Diceros bicornis minor: one gene and its partner. The protein of the gene in region 1 purifies or fractionates together with the protein of each later gene. This does not show direct contact. Links are inferred from orthologs where the notes say so. Each region holds a gene or a part of one and is shown in the gene's direction. Other genes may lie near its edges.

Region 1 (7,368 bases):
CAGGGTGAGTGGAGGGAAAGGGATAACAGAGGGGTAGACAGAGCTCTTCAAGTGAACTGGTGACGTATTTCTTAAGCTGAGCGGTGGGTATATGAACATATATATATTCGTATCTTTTTGTAGATCTGAAATATTTTGCAATTAGAAAAAAGTTTAGCACAGGTCCTGGCTCTTGCCCTTCATCCCCCCAGCCTCCCTCTCCGGTCTCAGAATTGACCACAGGAGCAGGAAGAAACAGGGGAGTAGAGTGAGGAGTTTAGGAAGCCTTCCTGTAAGAGGGGTGTGTAGCGGATGATGACGTGGAGAGGGGATGCTGGTGTCTTGCCCTGATCCTCTCCTTTGAATCCAGCCCTCTGCTCCTCTGAAGAAGCCACTTTCACACAAGAGATCCCCCCTCCCACATATAGCAGTCCCCTGGTACTAATTGGCATTCTGCTAATTAGCCTCCTCGTCAGCACTACGTGCCTCTTTCCCTAGGGGACCGTTACCTCATTAAGCAAGGAGTGGAGTGGAGGCAGCAGCTGCCCCAGGCTGGGCTAGGGGCAGAGTGGGTTTCTGCTTCACGCTGTCTGTTAGTCTGTCTGCCCCCACCCCCCCCTCATTAGTCCTGGAGTTTCTTGAATGGAGGCCACCATAGTGCAGGGGGAAAAGCCATGGGCTTGGAATCAGAAGAGTTAGCTCAAGACCCAGGATGAAGAAAGTGAATCCAGCCTGCTAAGGTGGGTGAGGGCGACTGGGCCTGTGCAAAATGTGCATTCATCCCCTAGGGGTCCTCAAATTTGTCTTATTTTTAATATTTTAACTTTTCTTGATGCTTGATCCAGGACTTTCTCCACCATATTATCTCTCTTTAAGTTTTTATTATGGACAATTTCATATTTACAGTAGTCCCCCTTTATCCGTGGTTTCACTTTCCGTGGTTTCAGTTACCCACAGTCAACTGCAGCCCAAAAATATTAAATGGAGGAGGCCGGCCCGGTGGTGTAGTGGTTGAGTTTGCTCTCCGCTTTGGCGGCCCGGGGTTTGCAGGTTTGGATCCCGCCACAGATCTATGCACAGCTCATCAAACCATGCTGTGGAGGCATCCCATATACAAAATGGAGGAAGATGGGCATGGATGTTAGCTCAGGGCCAATCTTCCTCACACACACAAAAAATATATTAAATGGAATATTCCAGAAATAATTCATAAGTTTTAAATTGCACACCGTTCTGAGTAGCATGATGAAATCTCACACTGTCACACTCTGTCCAGCCCTGGACGTGAATCAGCCCTTTGTCCAGCACATCCACGCTGTACACGCTACCCACCCATTAGTCACTTAGTAGCCATCTCAGTTATCAGATCGGCTGTCATGGTATCAGTGTCTGTGTTCAAGTAGCCCTTATTTTACTTAATAATGGCCCCAAAGCACAAGAATAGTGATGCTGGCAACTGGGATATGGCAAAGAGAAGCCATAAACTGCTTCCTTTAAGGGAAAAGGTAAAAGTTCTCGACTCAATAAGAAAAAAAAAATCACATGCTGAGGTTTCTGATGGTATGCTACAGTAAGAACGAATCTTTTATCTGTGAAATTGTGAGAAAGAAAAAGAAATTCATGCTAGTTTTGCTCAAACTGCAAAAATTATGGCCACAGTGCATGATAAGTGCTTAGTTAAGTTGGAAAAGGCATTACATTTGTGGGTGGAAGACACGAACAGAAAACGTGTTCCTATTGATGGCAACATGTTGCACTAGAAAGCACTGGGCCTACACGAAGATTTTAGCATGGGATCCCTTGAAATGAGTGACATCAAGCCATTCACTGCAAGTGAGGCATGGTTACAGATTCAGGAATAGGTTTGGACTGAAAGAGAGAGAGACTACACATAACTTTTACTACAGTATATTGTTATAGTTGTTCTCTTTTATTATTAGTTATTGTTCATCTCTTACTGTGCCTAATTTATAAATTAAACTTTATTATAGGTATGTATGTTTAGGAAAAAACATAGTATATATAGGGTTCAGTACTATCTGTGGTTTCAGGCATCCACTGGGGGTCTTGGAATGTATCCCCCGCAGGTAAGAGGGGACTACTGTATATAAAAATAGAATAGGATAATGAACCCTCATGTATCCATGCATCGGTACTCCAGCTTGAATAATTACTAGCATGAAGCCAATCTTGTTTCTCTACCCTCCCCACCCCCCAAATTACACTGCCTCTTGAGGTTTGGGTGGTCATTTATCCTAACCCTGTGATCTTAATTTGCTTATTCATTAATTCAATATCTCTTTATTAAACACTGCCTATGAGTCAGGCATTAGTAAATTTATTGAAGACCTAGGATATGCCAAGTGCTTTACATACCTAATTTTATTTTACCCTAACCTCCCTGTTATTATTTCTGTTTTACAGATGATAAAATTGAGCCTCAGAGAGATTAATGACTTGCCCAAAGCACTAACTTCAAATTCTATGTTTTCTTCCTATTATACCATGGTCTTGACCTTGAATTACTATATGTCACACTGCCTACTCAGACAACAGAGGCCTTCATTCACTTAGGTGTTACTGAACCTCTAGTGGGTTCTAGGCCCTGTGCTGAATAAGAGTGACATAATTCCTGCCTTTAAGGAGATGCGACAGACATTACAATTCAAGTGTTAAATGTTACCATGGGTTTAAGCCAGGCAGCTAAAACAGAAGAGGCAAACTCAATCTTAGTCAAGGAAGATTGGGTCAAGGAAGACTTCATGGAGGAGATGATTTAGACATGTAGTACAAAGCAAAGGGCAGTGAGAGTGGGCATGGTCAGAATATTCCAAGGAAAAGAAACAGCAAGTGCATAGGCTGGAGGAGGATCTGTTGAGTTCTGGGCACTGTGAGGAGAGGATTTCAGCATGGCTAGAACATGTGAGGTTGAATGGTGGAGTACTGAAAAACAAGGCAGGAGAAGCAGGCAGAATCTTGAAGGTCTTTGATGCCACACTTGAGACTCTACTCAAAAGACAGTGGGAAGTCAGTGAAGGGTCTTAAACAGGAGAGTGACATCAGATTTGAGTTTTAGAAAAATCACTCTGGGAATGGCGAATTGATTTAAGAGAGCCGGGCAGGGAGACCAAGCAGGAGGCTGATAAGAGGAATGGAGGTGAGTGGGGACTGTGGCTTGGATAAGGTCAATGGCAAGATAAATAGGAAGGGAGGGAAGCAAAACTGGATGTGCATGTGAAAGTGCTAAGGAGAAGGGTCCAGACATCTCATTCAAACTCTCCTAAGTGACCTTTAAGGCTGGTGGTGGGGTCTTTCAGAGATAGTACTGTTGCTGAAAGTGATCTCAGGGATCAAACAGCCTTCTCTCTCAACCTCACAGTGAAAGAAAAGCCCAGAGAAGCAAAGCAACTTGCTCAAGGTCACACAGCATGTCAGTGGTAGAACATGACTCCTTGTTCTTTACATAGCATTACTCAACCTCTAGTGAGGCTAGTGGCTGGGGGTGCTATGCCAACATGACTAGACCTAAGGTGACCCAAGCAAGATTTGAAGGGGTTGGACATAGATTCCTCCTCTTCCCCTCCGCCTCTCCCTGCCACCCCTTTCCCCACGCGCAGCTCGTGATCAGTCAATGAATAATTGTTGAAACAGTTCCTTTGTGCAGAACAAGAGGTGCACAGATACAAGTCTGCGGGAGGATTTCCTATCCTGAGATCTGAGAGGCCCTCCTCAACACTCCCCACTCCAGCCAGAGAAGGGGGTAAAGGGCATTCCTGAGGCAGCCAGTCCCCCCTCTCCACTCCCCAAATCCCAAGTGGTTTCTACAGCCAAGTTCTCACGGAGAGGCCCCTCCCTCAGTGGCTCCACTGTTGCCATGGCAATTAGGTGGGTGGACAGCCCATCCTATCTAGAGGCCACCCAGCCCTCGCGTGGGGAGTTACCATAACAACCCCCCTAGCAATAGAGGGGGTTGGGTCCCGCCCCCTTCCCCCGCAAATAGAGAGGTGGGTGGCTTGATTGGCAGCTGGGCAGACGAAAGAGGAGGGAAAGGGAAGGAAGGCGTCAAAAGAGAGCTAAGAAGGAAATGGGGGAGAGAGAGGGCAAAAAATAGGCGACGGGAAGGAAACGCGTGTGCGCACGCGCGCCAGCTGGTGGGCGCGCTCCGCGGCCACCTCGGCCGCCGCCCACTTCTTTCACGCCAGGCTCGTTCGCGCGCGCCTTTCGCGCTCTCTCTTGCGCCTGCGCGCAGGTGTCGGCGCCGAGGGGGAGGGGGAACCCGGCGCGCTCGCGTCACGTTCCTTCTTCCACCCTCCCGGTGCACGGCCACTCCGCGCCTGCGCAGGACAGTCGGGAGCTCGGGTTGCAGGCTCCGGGGCAAGAGCGCCTGTCAGTCTGTGGGTCGGTCCTCTCCCCGGCCCTCCCCCTCCCCGTTCTCCGGGGGAGGCACGGTGGAGTCCGCCCCCGGGATACCCCGATGGGGGAGAAGCGGCGACGGCGGCAGCGGAATAACCCAGCCGGAGCGTGAGCGGCCCCGGGGCCCCGTTCCCCGCGGAGGCCATGGGCGACCCAGCCCCCGCCCGCAGCCTGGACGACATCGACCTGTCCGCCCTGCGGGTGAGCGCGCAGCCCCCCAGCCTCGCCCTGGTTCCAGTCCCCGCCGCAGGGGAGCGGGGTGGCCGCACGCCTCACGTGCTCCCCGGGCGCCCCTTCCGTCAGCCCCGTCCCCCTCGGCAACCCCCGCCCCTTTCCCGGGCGCCCACGGCTGCTGGGCCCCCGCCCCTGCTCCCCCCCTCCACTCGCTGCAGATTCTGGGAGCCAGTTCGGTCCCCACCCTGTGGTGCCCCGCCCCCACACTTCCCGGCCACCTCCACCTTTACTCAGGTTCCGGACCCGCTTCCTCCAAGGTGTTTGAGGATCATCCCTGGTTCCCCTAAACTTAGGCCCCCATCACCTGCAGAATCTTTATTGTGGTGCCCCTCACCTCCTCTTGGGCCTCTTTCCACCCTTGCCCTTAGTTATATCGTCTTCCTCGCCCTCCTCTGTCTCGGTTCCTCGAATTTTGACTTTTCAGCTATCTTGACAGCCTTCCCCTCATCACCCTTTCTCCTCGCCCACCCCTGAATTGCTTCTCTTGCCTGGTCGGAATTTCAGCCTCCCCTCTCTACCCCACACCTCCTACTGTCGCCCTCACCCCCATGTTCTGCTCACCCCATCCCTTTTCTCGTGTTTCAAGTGCAGCAGTCCAGAACCAGGCATTTCCGGTCTCAGGGTCCCTGAATATTGCATTACCAACTCTGCAGCAGTGTGGGGCTGGGAGGAAAGACAAGTGCACTGGGGGAGGAGGGGAAGCATGGATTCTCTTCGGAAACTAGCCTGGGCTGGGAAGAGGATGTTTATACGCATGCACATACACAAAACGCACGCTGCATTTAGTCCATCAGGAGGTTGGGAAAAGCAGTGAGTATTTTGTATGTTTGCTGGAGGGAGGGGGAGGTAATGGAGATCTCTCAAGAGAGGGGTTAATTAGAAAAGGGATAGAAGGAAACAATCGCAGCAGGAATTTCTTTGAAACACCTTTTTATTGTCCCCCCTGGGGCACTTGCACGCCCCCGTTTGGGAGCTTTCAGCAGCATTTATGTGTTTTTCTTCAGCAAGGAGCTCTGGCTGAGGGGCATCTTAGAGATTTCAAGGTGAACACTCCAATCACCCAGGTGGTGTTTTTGTCCTATGTCCTTCCGGCTTTCTCAACAGGCCAAGGTGTGGGGAGAGCAGGATTTCCCATCTCTAGGTTAGCTTCTCTGGAGGCCCCTGTTTAAATTGTCTTCTGGCTTTTGAGTTAGACAGAGAACATGGCCAGTAGTGGGAAAAGGCGGTCAGTCACTCAGGTGCCCCGGATATGACTGGAGGGGAATTGAAGAGAGCAGAGTCATGTCGTTAATTGGGTTTCTCTAGGTGACACAGTTTTTCTTGGCATTCAGGTCATAGTTTGTTTGGTGCAGTGTTGGGCTAGGAGACCTGACTTGCTGGAGATAAGGTGATAAGTTACTGAGGAGGGAAACTGAGCGGTGAATTTCTCTCTCTCTCTCCCTCTGTGTCTCTCGCTCAGTGTGTGTGTGTGTGTGTGTGTGTGTGTTGGTGAGGAGAGGGTCTGAAGGCTTTGGGAGGAAGATTCTTAAGGTCAGTATAAACTACATTTCTCAAGTTAAGCCAGTTGGATATAAGATGGAAATCCAGGCTCCCCTTAATGTGCTCCTGTCTAGGATGAACCCCACCTTCCCTTCCCACCTTGGTTGTTGATTAACTCTGGCTACAGGTTCCTGTGGCTGTGGTGACTGACATACAATAAAAAACGGGTGGGTCCAAACCATGACCTTTGGTTTAAACCTTGTGGGACTCTGCTTGGGCTTTCTTTCCCTTTAGCCTCTTCTGGTAGTTTGGCCTGGACCCTCAACCTAGGATTTCCAGCAATTCTGCAGACACCCTCTGACCTTAGATGTGGTATTCCCCTTCCGGACTTCTCTGCCTGAAGCAATGTTAGTGTTCTTCCTCAAGCATCCTGCCTTATTCTCCTCTCCCTCCCTCAAGAGAGCCAGCTGACCTACCTGCTCCCGGTCTTCTGTTTTTCCTGCCTCATGCTTCTTAAGACAGCATTCCTCATCCCCCATTACCGCAGTACTCCAGGGCTTGAGGGAGAGCTTTGAAATGGGGCTAGAGAGGGCCTGCTTTCTCCTTCCTGCTGACCTTTTCTCAGTGCCTGTCCCCTCCGCTCCACCTCAGAGAGCTGCTGTGGCACTGTGGAGCCGCTAGCTCAGTCATCTCTTGTTCTGTTCCTGTCTGTGTTCCAGTGAGAAATGGTAACCTGGAGGATTAGCAGCAAAGCCTGTTTCCCTTTACTCCGTCGACTTGTGTTGGGGGCCTGGGGGGAGGGGACAGGAACGTATTCAGCATTTATTGACTGCCCTTGAAGAGCCCAAGTTGTCTTTCTCCTCTTGTTTCAAGATGAGGCTTGGTTTTCAGCTGGTGATGAGAGTAATAGTCTGATATTAGGGAAGATTGAATTGCACTCGTCTCTTAGCCGTGTGTGGGGAGGCCGGGTCGACCTGCCACTTTGTGATCACAGGCACACTTGACCTCTTTGAGGCTCCATTTCTCCATCAGCACAGCATCATGGGCTTATATTCCTGAGGTCAAGTCTGGCTTTCTCACTTATTGTGTAACCTTGGCCTTGCCCCCGCTGCTTTCTTTACTTGCTGCGGATTCTGCAAAGGGCCTCGCCTCTCTGAGGCTCCGTTTTCTCATGTGTATCAGCGAGGATGGTGATAGTACTGAACTCAGAGGTGCTGAGGATTAAATGAGATACTGCATGTTCAGTACTTAGTCCAGGACCTG
Region 2 (7,456 bases), on another chromosome or scaffold:
TGTTGACTTTATAAACATTGTTATATAATGATGTCTCAAATCTTAAAATACCACTACTATGATGTGCTGGTACAAATTTCAAAAGGTGGGTAAACTTCATTTTTACTTTTCTTTTAAAACTAATTTTATGGGTTTGTTTCTCAAATTTAGGCCTCTCTAAGCCTCAACTTTCCCTGAAGTTTGACCCAAACATCTCTCACTGCCTTCTTCAATGCTATAACATCAACTTTACATTTATTTGTTCACTCAGTAAAAAATCATTTACTGAGCTACTCCAATTTGATGGCACTGTGATAGGGACAAATGCAAAGATGATACAGTCCATGCCCTCATTAAGAGACTCCCCAGACTTCCTTGGATTTGTCGTTCCACAGTCATTCAGGCAAAAATCTTAGCATCAGCTTTAATTTCATTCTCATTTATCTAAAACCCAATCTTTTCATGGCTACTACCCTAATTCAGAAACTCTTCACTTTGTCATCACTCCCATCTAATATTTATTACACAACATTTACTAAGCACAGTACTAAGGGCCATACATGCATTATCTCATTTAATTTTCAAAATAATCCTAAAGGACAGGATAATAGGATAATCCATTTTACAGACGAAGAAACTGAGGCTTATAGAGATTAAGTAATTTACCCATGGTTACAGAGTCAGTAAGAGACAAAATTAAGTCTAACACTAGAGCCCATGTTTTTAAACACTACCATATTGCATCCTCATCAATGATTTGCAGTAATCACTTTCCAGTCTCCATTCTCTCAGGATTTTTCCATCCAATGAATCCTTTGCCCTACAATATCCTTTCTAAAGAACTTTATCTCTTACTAACTAAAGTATGCACTACTTGTCTCCTTAGCTTTCTCCCTAGAGTGGAAGGGTGGGGGGGCTGTCTTATCTTCTTTTGTACTCCAACAAAATAACAGGCACTTAGTAAGTGCTAAATATTTGCCAATGATGCTAACTCTCTCCCAAACATTTTTAAGATTTTTAATTTATTGTGGTAAGAATACTTAACATGAGATCCACTCTCTTAACAAACTTTTAAGTGTACAATACAGTACTGTTAACTATAGGTACAATGTTACACAGCTTATCTCTAGAACTTATTCATCTTGCTTAACAGAAACTTTCTCCCAAACATTTTTAACAGCTCATTGCTACCTATAAAATAAATCCAAACAACTATGTTTGGCATTCATACACCTATTTTTTATTTTCTATTTCTCAACACAAATCCTGTTCTACACACAAATTATTAAATTTTAACATTTTCTTCCACATCCACCACCAACAACTTACTTAAATATGGAATTTTTCTTTATTTTTGGAAATCTTATCCTGACTGGTCTCACAGTTTAACCTGTTGTTAAAATATATAAACCACTGCTCTGATTCCTAAGGGCTTTCTTTCCTAACAAGATCCATAAAACAAGTGCGCAAAGAGATTAAATTAGTGTTGTGGCTGAGAGTAAAGAAGAAGTTGACCTAGATAAAGTTTATCTCCAATTCAAAGAGTCTAAAATATGAATGATTTTATGATATAAGAATGGGTAAAATCATCCAGAGCTGGAAAACTGTTTTTTTTCTTTTGCATCCTTGAATTTGTCTGCAGGGTGAAAAGGTGTGTGTCATGGGATGACAAGATTATCAGTAAGCTGGTGCTTCCAAAAGACATGATGGTTCTCACAGCAAGTGCCAGTTTACTTATTCATTTGACAAATTCTTGAGAAATAGAAATGAAATAGTTACATATTATATATTGGAGAAAGACTTTAAATAATCACACAAGTAAATATATAATTACAAGTTCTGAAAAATGACATAAAGTTCAGGGCATGATGAAAGATTATAACAGGGTAGAGGGGGTAGAGGTTAGAGAGCATCAAGAGAAGGCTTCTCTGAGGAAGTATCACTTAAGCTGAAAATTAAAGAATGAGTTAATTGGGGGATGGCTGTGCTGGAACAATCTAGGCAAACAGAACAGCATGTGCAAAGGCCCTGTGATGGAAAATAACTCGGTGTGACAAAGGAAACTAAAAGCAGTGAGGCTGGAGTTTAGTGAGGAAGAGGAGGATGGTGCAAGATGAAGCTAGTGAAGCAGGAAAGAATCAAGTTACACAGAATCTTCTAGACCATAGTAAGGATTCTGAATTTTACCCTAGATGTAATAAATACCTAGTGATAGGAAATCCAATGAAAGGTTTTAAGCAGAGAAATGACATGTTACTGCTGAATGGAGAAGTGATGTGGTTTGTTTGGGTTTGGGGAAGAGAGTGAAAAGAGTAAGAATGGAAGAAAACAGGGCAACCAGAGAGGAGAGTATTGACCTGACTCAGCCTATAACAACAATTACAATTACAATTACTGCTTACTGGCTATTTACTGTGTGCCATGTGCTTACCATGGCTATCTCATTTAATCCTCATAACAATGCAATAAGGTGATTATTATTCCCATTTTACAGATGAGAATACAGGGAACCAGTGACATCAAGTCCAGGTAAAACAGGATTGTGGCTTGAACTAGAAAGGTAATACTGAAGATGCACAGAAATAGATCCAAGACATATATCGGAAATAGAATAAACAGAACTTGAAGAAGGTATGGATACATGGGATGAGGGAGAAGTCACGAATGGTTTCCAAGTTTCTAGCCTATGTAAGTGGATAAATGGACAAACTGGGATACTGGAGGAGAAAGAATTTGGGTATGGAAAGATTAAGACTTTGGTTTTACACTTGTTATATTTGAAATTCCTAAGAAAAAATCAAGTTGAGATGTCAAGCAGACAGGTGGGTATTTTGATCTTGAGCTGAAAACAAAAGGAACAAGCTGGAAATAAAAATTCTTAAGTCATCAATATACAGATGGAATTTAAAGCTTAGGGTGGAAGGGAAGAGTAAAAGGAGAACAGGGCCTCGGACAGAAGCTAGATAGTCCTTTTTTCCCCATCAAACGTCTCTTGCTATGGTCATCGGTTACTTGGATGTCATCGGGCTTTTCAGTCCCCTTCAACTTTACCTTTCAGCAGAATTCAACACTATTGATGACTTCTTTTGTCTCTTTCACCCCTCTACCCAGTTATTAACTGCCAAGAATCCCTCAGTGCTCCATCCATCCTAGGTCCCCTTCTTTTTTAGAACTATACTCTTTTTAGGCAATTTCATCCACATCCACAGCTTCAACTACTATCAACACAGCGATAAGATGTATACATTTATCTATCTATCCAACCCAGAACTCTGCTGAGCTCAGACCCAGTACATCCAACCGCCTACTTGACATCGTCTTAGATATCTCTTCCAGTTAGAGACCTGTCAGATACTGCCACCCCAAAAAAGGCGTTTACACAAAGCCCAAATTTTGAAAGGATGACCACAAAACCACTACAGGCCAACTTTCCAGAACAGGATTTTGTCATCAGTTATCGTTTCCTTTCGTGGACCGTGACCTAAAATAGGTAAACCTGACAACCTGATGGCTAGAGATGGGGAGCAACCAAAGGCAGGACAAAAAACACCCTTCGTGCCTTTTAGCGAGAGATGGTTAGGTGAGGAAAGAAGGGAAAGAACGGTCAAGAGAGTGAAAGAGTATCACGTCCAAGGCCTGATGGACGTGCGGCAACGGAAGTCACCTGAAGACACAGCAGGCCTCGCTAAGGGGCGAGTGGCGGACGACGACAGCCCCCCGCGAGCAGGCGCCGGGTTCGGTTTGCGGAGGGAGCGAGGGACAGCAGAGACCAGGTCCAAGGAGAGAGAAATCCCGGGGGAAGACCCAAGCGGAGTACCTGTGAGGCCAGGGGAGCGTCGAGGGGCTGGGGGCGGGCTGAGCGGCACCGGGCGAACTCTGGAGGAGTGAACGCCGAGTGGGCGGACCGCACGGGGCGGGGGGGGTCTTGGGGAAAACGGCTCAGTTGAGAAGCTCGCCGGGCCCGCCTTACCTGTGCCTGCGAGTCCGGAGCCCCGGACAGGCCCGCCGGAAGCACGGAGTCCGCGCGGAGGGGGAGGAGCCCGGGGTAACGAAGGAATGGACACCGGGCACCAAGGAGTGGGGCCGCTCGCTCCCTCCCAGTCAGGGAGAGCGGCTGATGGCGGGAACTGTGACCACACGCAAACACGCACGCACGCACGCACGCACACTCGACGCGACCACACGGGGCGCGTGCGCGCAAGCCTGCAAACTCCGCCCCTCCCACGCCCTCGCCCCGCCCCAGCACCTAGCGTAGTCTCGCCGAGGCAGCCCCGCCCCTGCCCTGATGTAGTACGCATGCGCACTTTCCACTTCGCTGCCTTGGGGCCTCCCACCGTTTCCCTCATGCTCAGCCCAGTCGGGCATGCGCACTACTTGCCCTCCTGGGACTGCCTGGCTTTTCCCGCCCTTCACTGGCCTCCGGAGGAGGGTCAGAGTTCACGTCCCTCTCTTGGGATACCAGCTCGAAGCTGGGGGATGCGAGGACTAGTGGGTGGCGGACGTCCTTCCGGTCCTGAATCTTAAGGGGCAAAGGACACACGCTGGGACTATTAACTCAGCCGAGAGCTAGGAGGCGGGAAGAGGTTGTGTGGGCGGGGTCAAGGGTGAAAGGTCAGAGGGCTGCGAAGGGGGCGGAGCGAGCCGGAGGCGGATGGCGGCTGCGGCGGCTCATCGTCTTTGGCGGCAGAGGCGCTGAAGCGGGGACGCGGGTCGGGCGCGTCCGGCAGTGGGAGGAGAGCGGCGGCCGCTCCCAACATGCACAGCCTGGCGACGGCTGCGGTGAGTGGCCGGGCCGCCCGGCCTCGGCCCAGAACCCCTCCTCGGCCCTGCTTTCCGGCCTTCTCTCCTCGCTCCCTGCGTCGGGCTCGGAGTCGGGCTCCTCCTGCCCTCCTTGCGCGAGGCCCCGGCCCCTCGTTGCCGCGCTGGGCTGCGTGGGACCCGGCCCCCACGTTCCTCACCGGCCGGCGCTCGCGGCCTCTGGCGCCGCGTATCGCCTTCTCTCCCGGCCCGGGGCCTGGTCCGGCGCCCGGAGCGCCTTTTCGCGGCCCGGACAGGCCATTCATTGATTCACTACGCTGACCGACAGTTTCGGCCTGCCGGTTTCGTGCTGGGCGTGGGCAGGGATGAGGGGAATGCCGTGGTCCCTCTGCCACGGCCGCGCTCGGGACGCACTGCCTAGGCGCATCGCAGCGGGAAAGAAATGGCTACTAGCTCAGACCGCTTGCGTTATAGATGGAAAAGCTGAGACCCGGAGAAGTGAATAATTATTACGTCTGACTTATGGTTCTACTGCGCTTACAACCTTTTTTCACACGTCTCATTTTACCAGCGCGATCTTTTATCAAGAAAAACGGATCGTGTAACTCACCTGTTTAAAGTCATCTTATGGCTTCTCTTTGCATGTAGATAAAATCCAGACTCCTTGCCATGGCCTACAAGGCGCTGCTTGTAGGATGTGGTCCTTACCCATGTTTAGTCTCATGTCATTTGCTCCGTAGGCTCTGGCTACAGGGACCGCCGTGCCATCCCTTCTGCCTGCACTTTTGCATTCCAGGGTGCACTTTCTGATCTCTATTTCTGGAATGCTCTTCTTACTCTCCCCGCCCCCCCCTTACTTACTTACACACAGACACACACAGCATGTGGATGTAACTGGCTCCTCTTCCCTCAAGTCTCAGCCTAAAAATCTCCCTAGAGTGGCCTTCCTCGACCACCCTATTTAAAGTAGTTTTGTAACCCCCAGCTTTTCTCTGTTAGAGTACTGTTTACAGCATTGATCCCAGTTTGTAATTTTTGTATTCTTTTATCTGTCTGTTGTCTGTCTCCCTCTTGATCCACGGGGATCATGTGGGTCCTGTTTATATGGTTACCCCAGTGCCAGGACAGTTCCTGGCACAAAGGAGGGGCTCAAATACTTTGCTGAATGAAGGGGTATAGATGAGGGAGGTCACTCCTGAGAGCACATAGCTGTAATGGGAAAACACGATCATATGATTTGAGGATACTCTTCTGAATGCTCATCCTAATTTTTCTGTTTTACTAAGGTGATGTGACTTAAGGAGAGAGTAGTATACTGAAATTGCATTACCAGGGAAAAGGACATACTAAATAGAAGACCAAAAAATTGCCTTAACTTTAAATATATAAAGTGAAAAAGAGAGCTGAGCATGACTAGGTTATAGAAAGCATTGTCATTTCCCAGGCCTGTGGCATCTCTGTGTCCTATCACCATGTTTCTAAGTGTTTGTAACTCTTCAAAGTGGAGAGGTACTTTTTATATCTCTCAATTAGGTAATTGCAATTTCCCCAGCTTTTTTATTTCTTCTAAGTAATACATGTAATTTGAGAAGAAGCAAGTCAGAAGATATGGTTGCTGCTCCTAGGGGAGTGGCAGGTTAAACAAAGGATTCTTCTAAGGTTGGCTTGTCCATCTTTCAAAATCTGATTGTCTTCTCCAGACTTTGATATCAAGCTGCTCCTTTCCCTCTGCCTCCGCAATCTCTCTACCTAGTCAATTCCCTTTATTTTCAATTGCTCCCTAATGCATCTTTGGAACAGCCGTTAAAGCTGTGGTTCATTACTTATAAGAAGTACTGGATACATGTTTTCTTCAATTAAATTTACAATGCTTTACATTTATTTAAAGTTTGAGCTTTTAGATATGCTGTTTGGACCACACAGAAACTCTGACAAGTTGCTTTGCACCACTTATTTACTAGAATATCTGGTTAGTGAGGAGACTGAAGCATAGAGAAGTTGAGCGACCTCTTTCCCAATCCTTCACGCCTTCCATTAGACGAAACTGTCTGTGTTATTCTGATCTGGGTAAAGGAACTGTAATGGTGTATATCACTCACAAGAAATTGAGAAGAGTTAATAATACATGCAGCAGTGCCTGCAATAATCTAAGCCACTTGAGAAAATGCTCACTTTCTGCCTAATGATGAAAATTTTTGTTTGTGTATACCTTTATCTCTTTTTAAGAATAACATCACTTCAGCTAGGGAGATAGTCTATCAAAGGACAACGTGATCACATGTGAATGCAGGATGTATTCACTAGAGGGAGGAAGTTTCTTAAATTTTGACTCCTGAGTAGTAGTTTATTACGCTAGAAATGTATAATATAGTAGACTCTTGTCATTCTTTACAGAATACATCCTAACATCATCATTGTTGCCACCATAGAATATAATTTCGTTCTCACATCTATTAAATAGGGACAGAGACACCACACAGGATTATTCTAAAAATTAAATAAGAATAACAAAGTGCTCAGTGGTTGGCTAGGTTCACTCATTGGTTAAATGACTTGCTCCCAGACTTCAGCCGTGGGATGCTAACTCCTGCCTCAGCAAAATAACAAATCACTTTGTTGTGGACCTTGGAGGTTGCTTCAGATTAACAGAGCTGCAAATCTTCACGTACCGTGGGTCTTCTGTAATGAATGTTATGCTGGTGATCTAAAAGAGCCAAAG

The links.
Region 2: the proteins of MINK1 (region 1) and CNOT9 purify together in Homo sapiens (affinity purification with mass spectrometry; 3 studies listed by BioGRID and IntAct, with this or other methods). This does not show direct contact. The link is inferred for Diceros bicornis minor from reciprocal best matches to the Homo sapiens genes MINK1 and CNOT9.

What each region holds. Positions count from the first base shown.
Region 1 is NC_080757.1:11,609,203-11,616,570, forward strand, and holds the start of MINK1 (misshapen-like kinase 1), read left to right. Parts: upstream 1-4,299; 5' UTR 4,300-4,536; coding exon 4,537-4,593; intron 4,594-7,368. UniProt on the Homo sapiens protein: Serine/threonine kinase which acts as a negative regulator of Ras-related Rap2-mediated signal transduction to control neuronal structure and AMPA receptor trafficking.
Region 2 is NC_080776.1:8,937,585-8,945,040, forward strand, and holds the start of CNOT9 (CCR4-NOT transcription complex subunit 9), read left to right. Parts: upstream 1-4,392; 5' UTR 4,393-4,734; coding exon 4,735-4,758; intron 4,759-7,456. UniProt on the Homo sapiens protein: Component of the CCR4-NOT complex which is one of the major cellular mRNA deadenylases and is linked to various cellular processes including bulk mRNA degradation, miRNA-mediated repression, translational repression during translational initiation and general transcription regulation.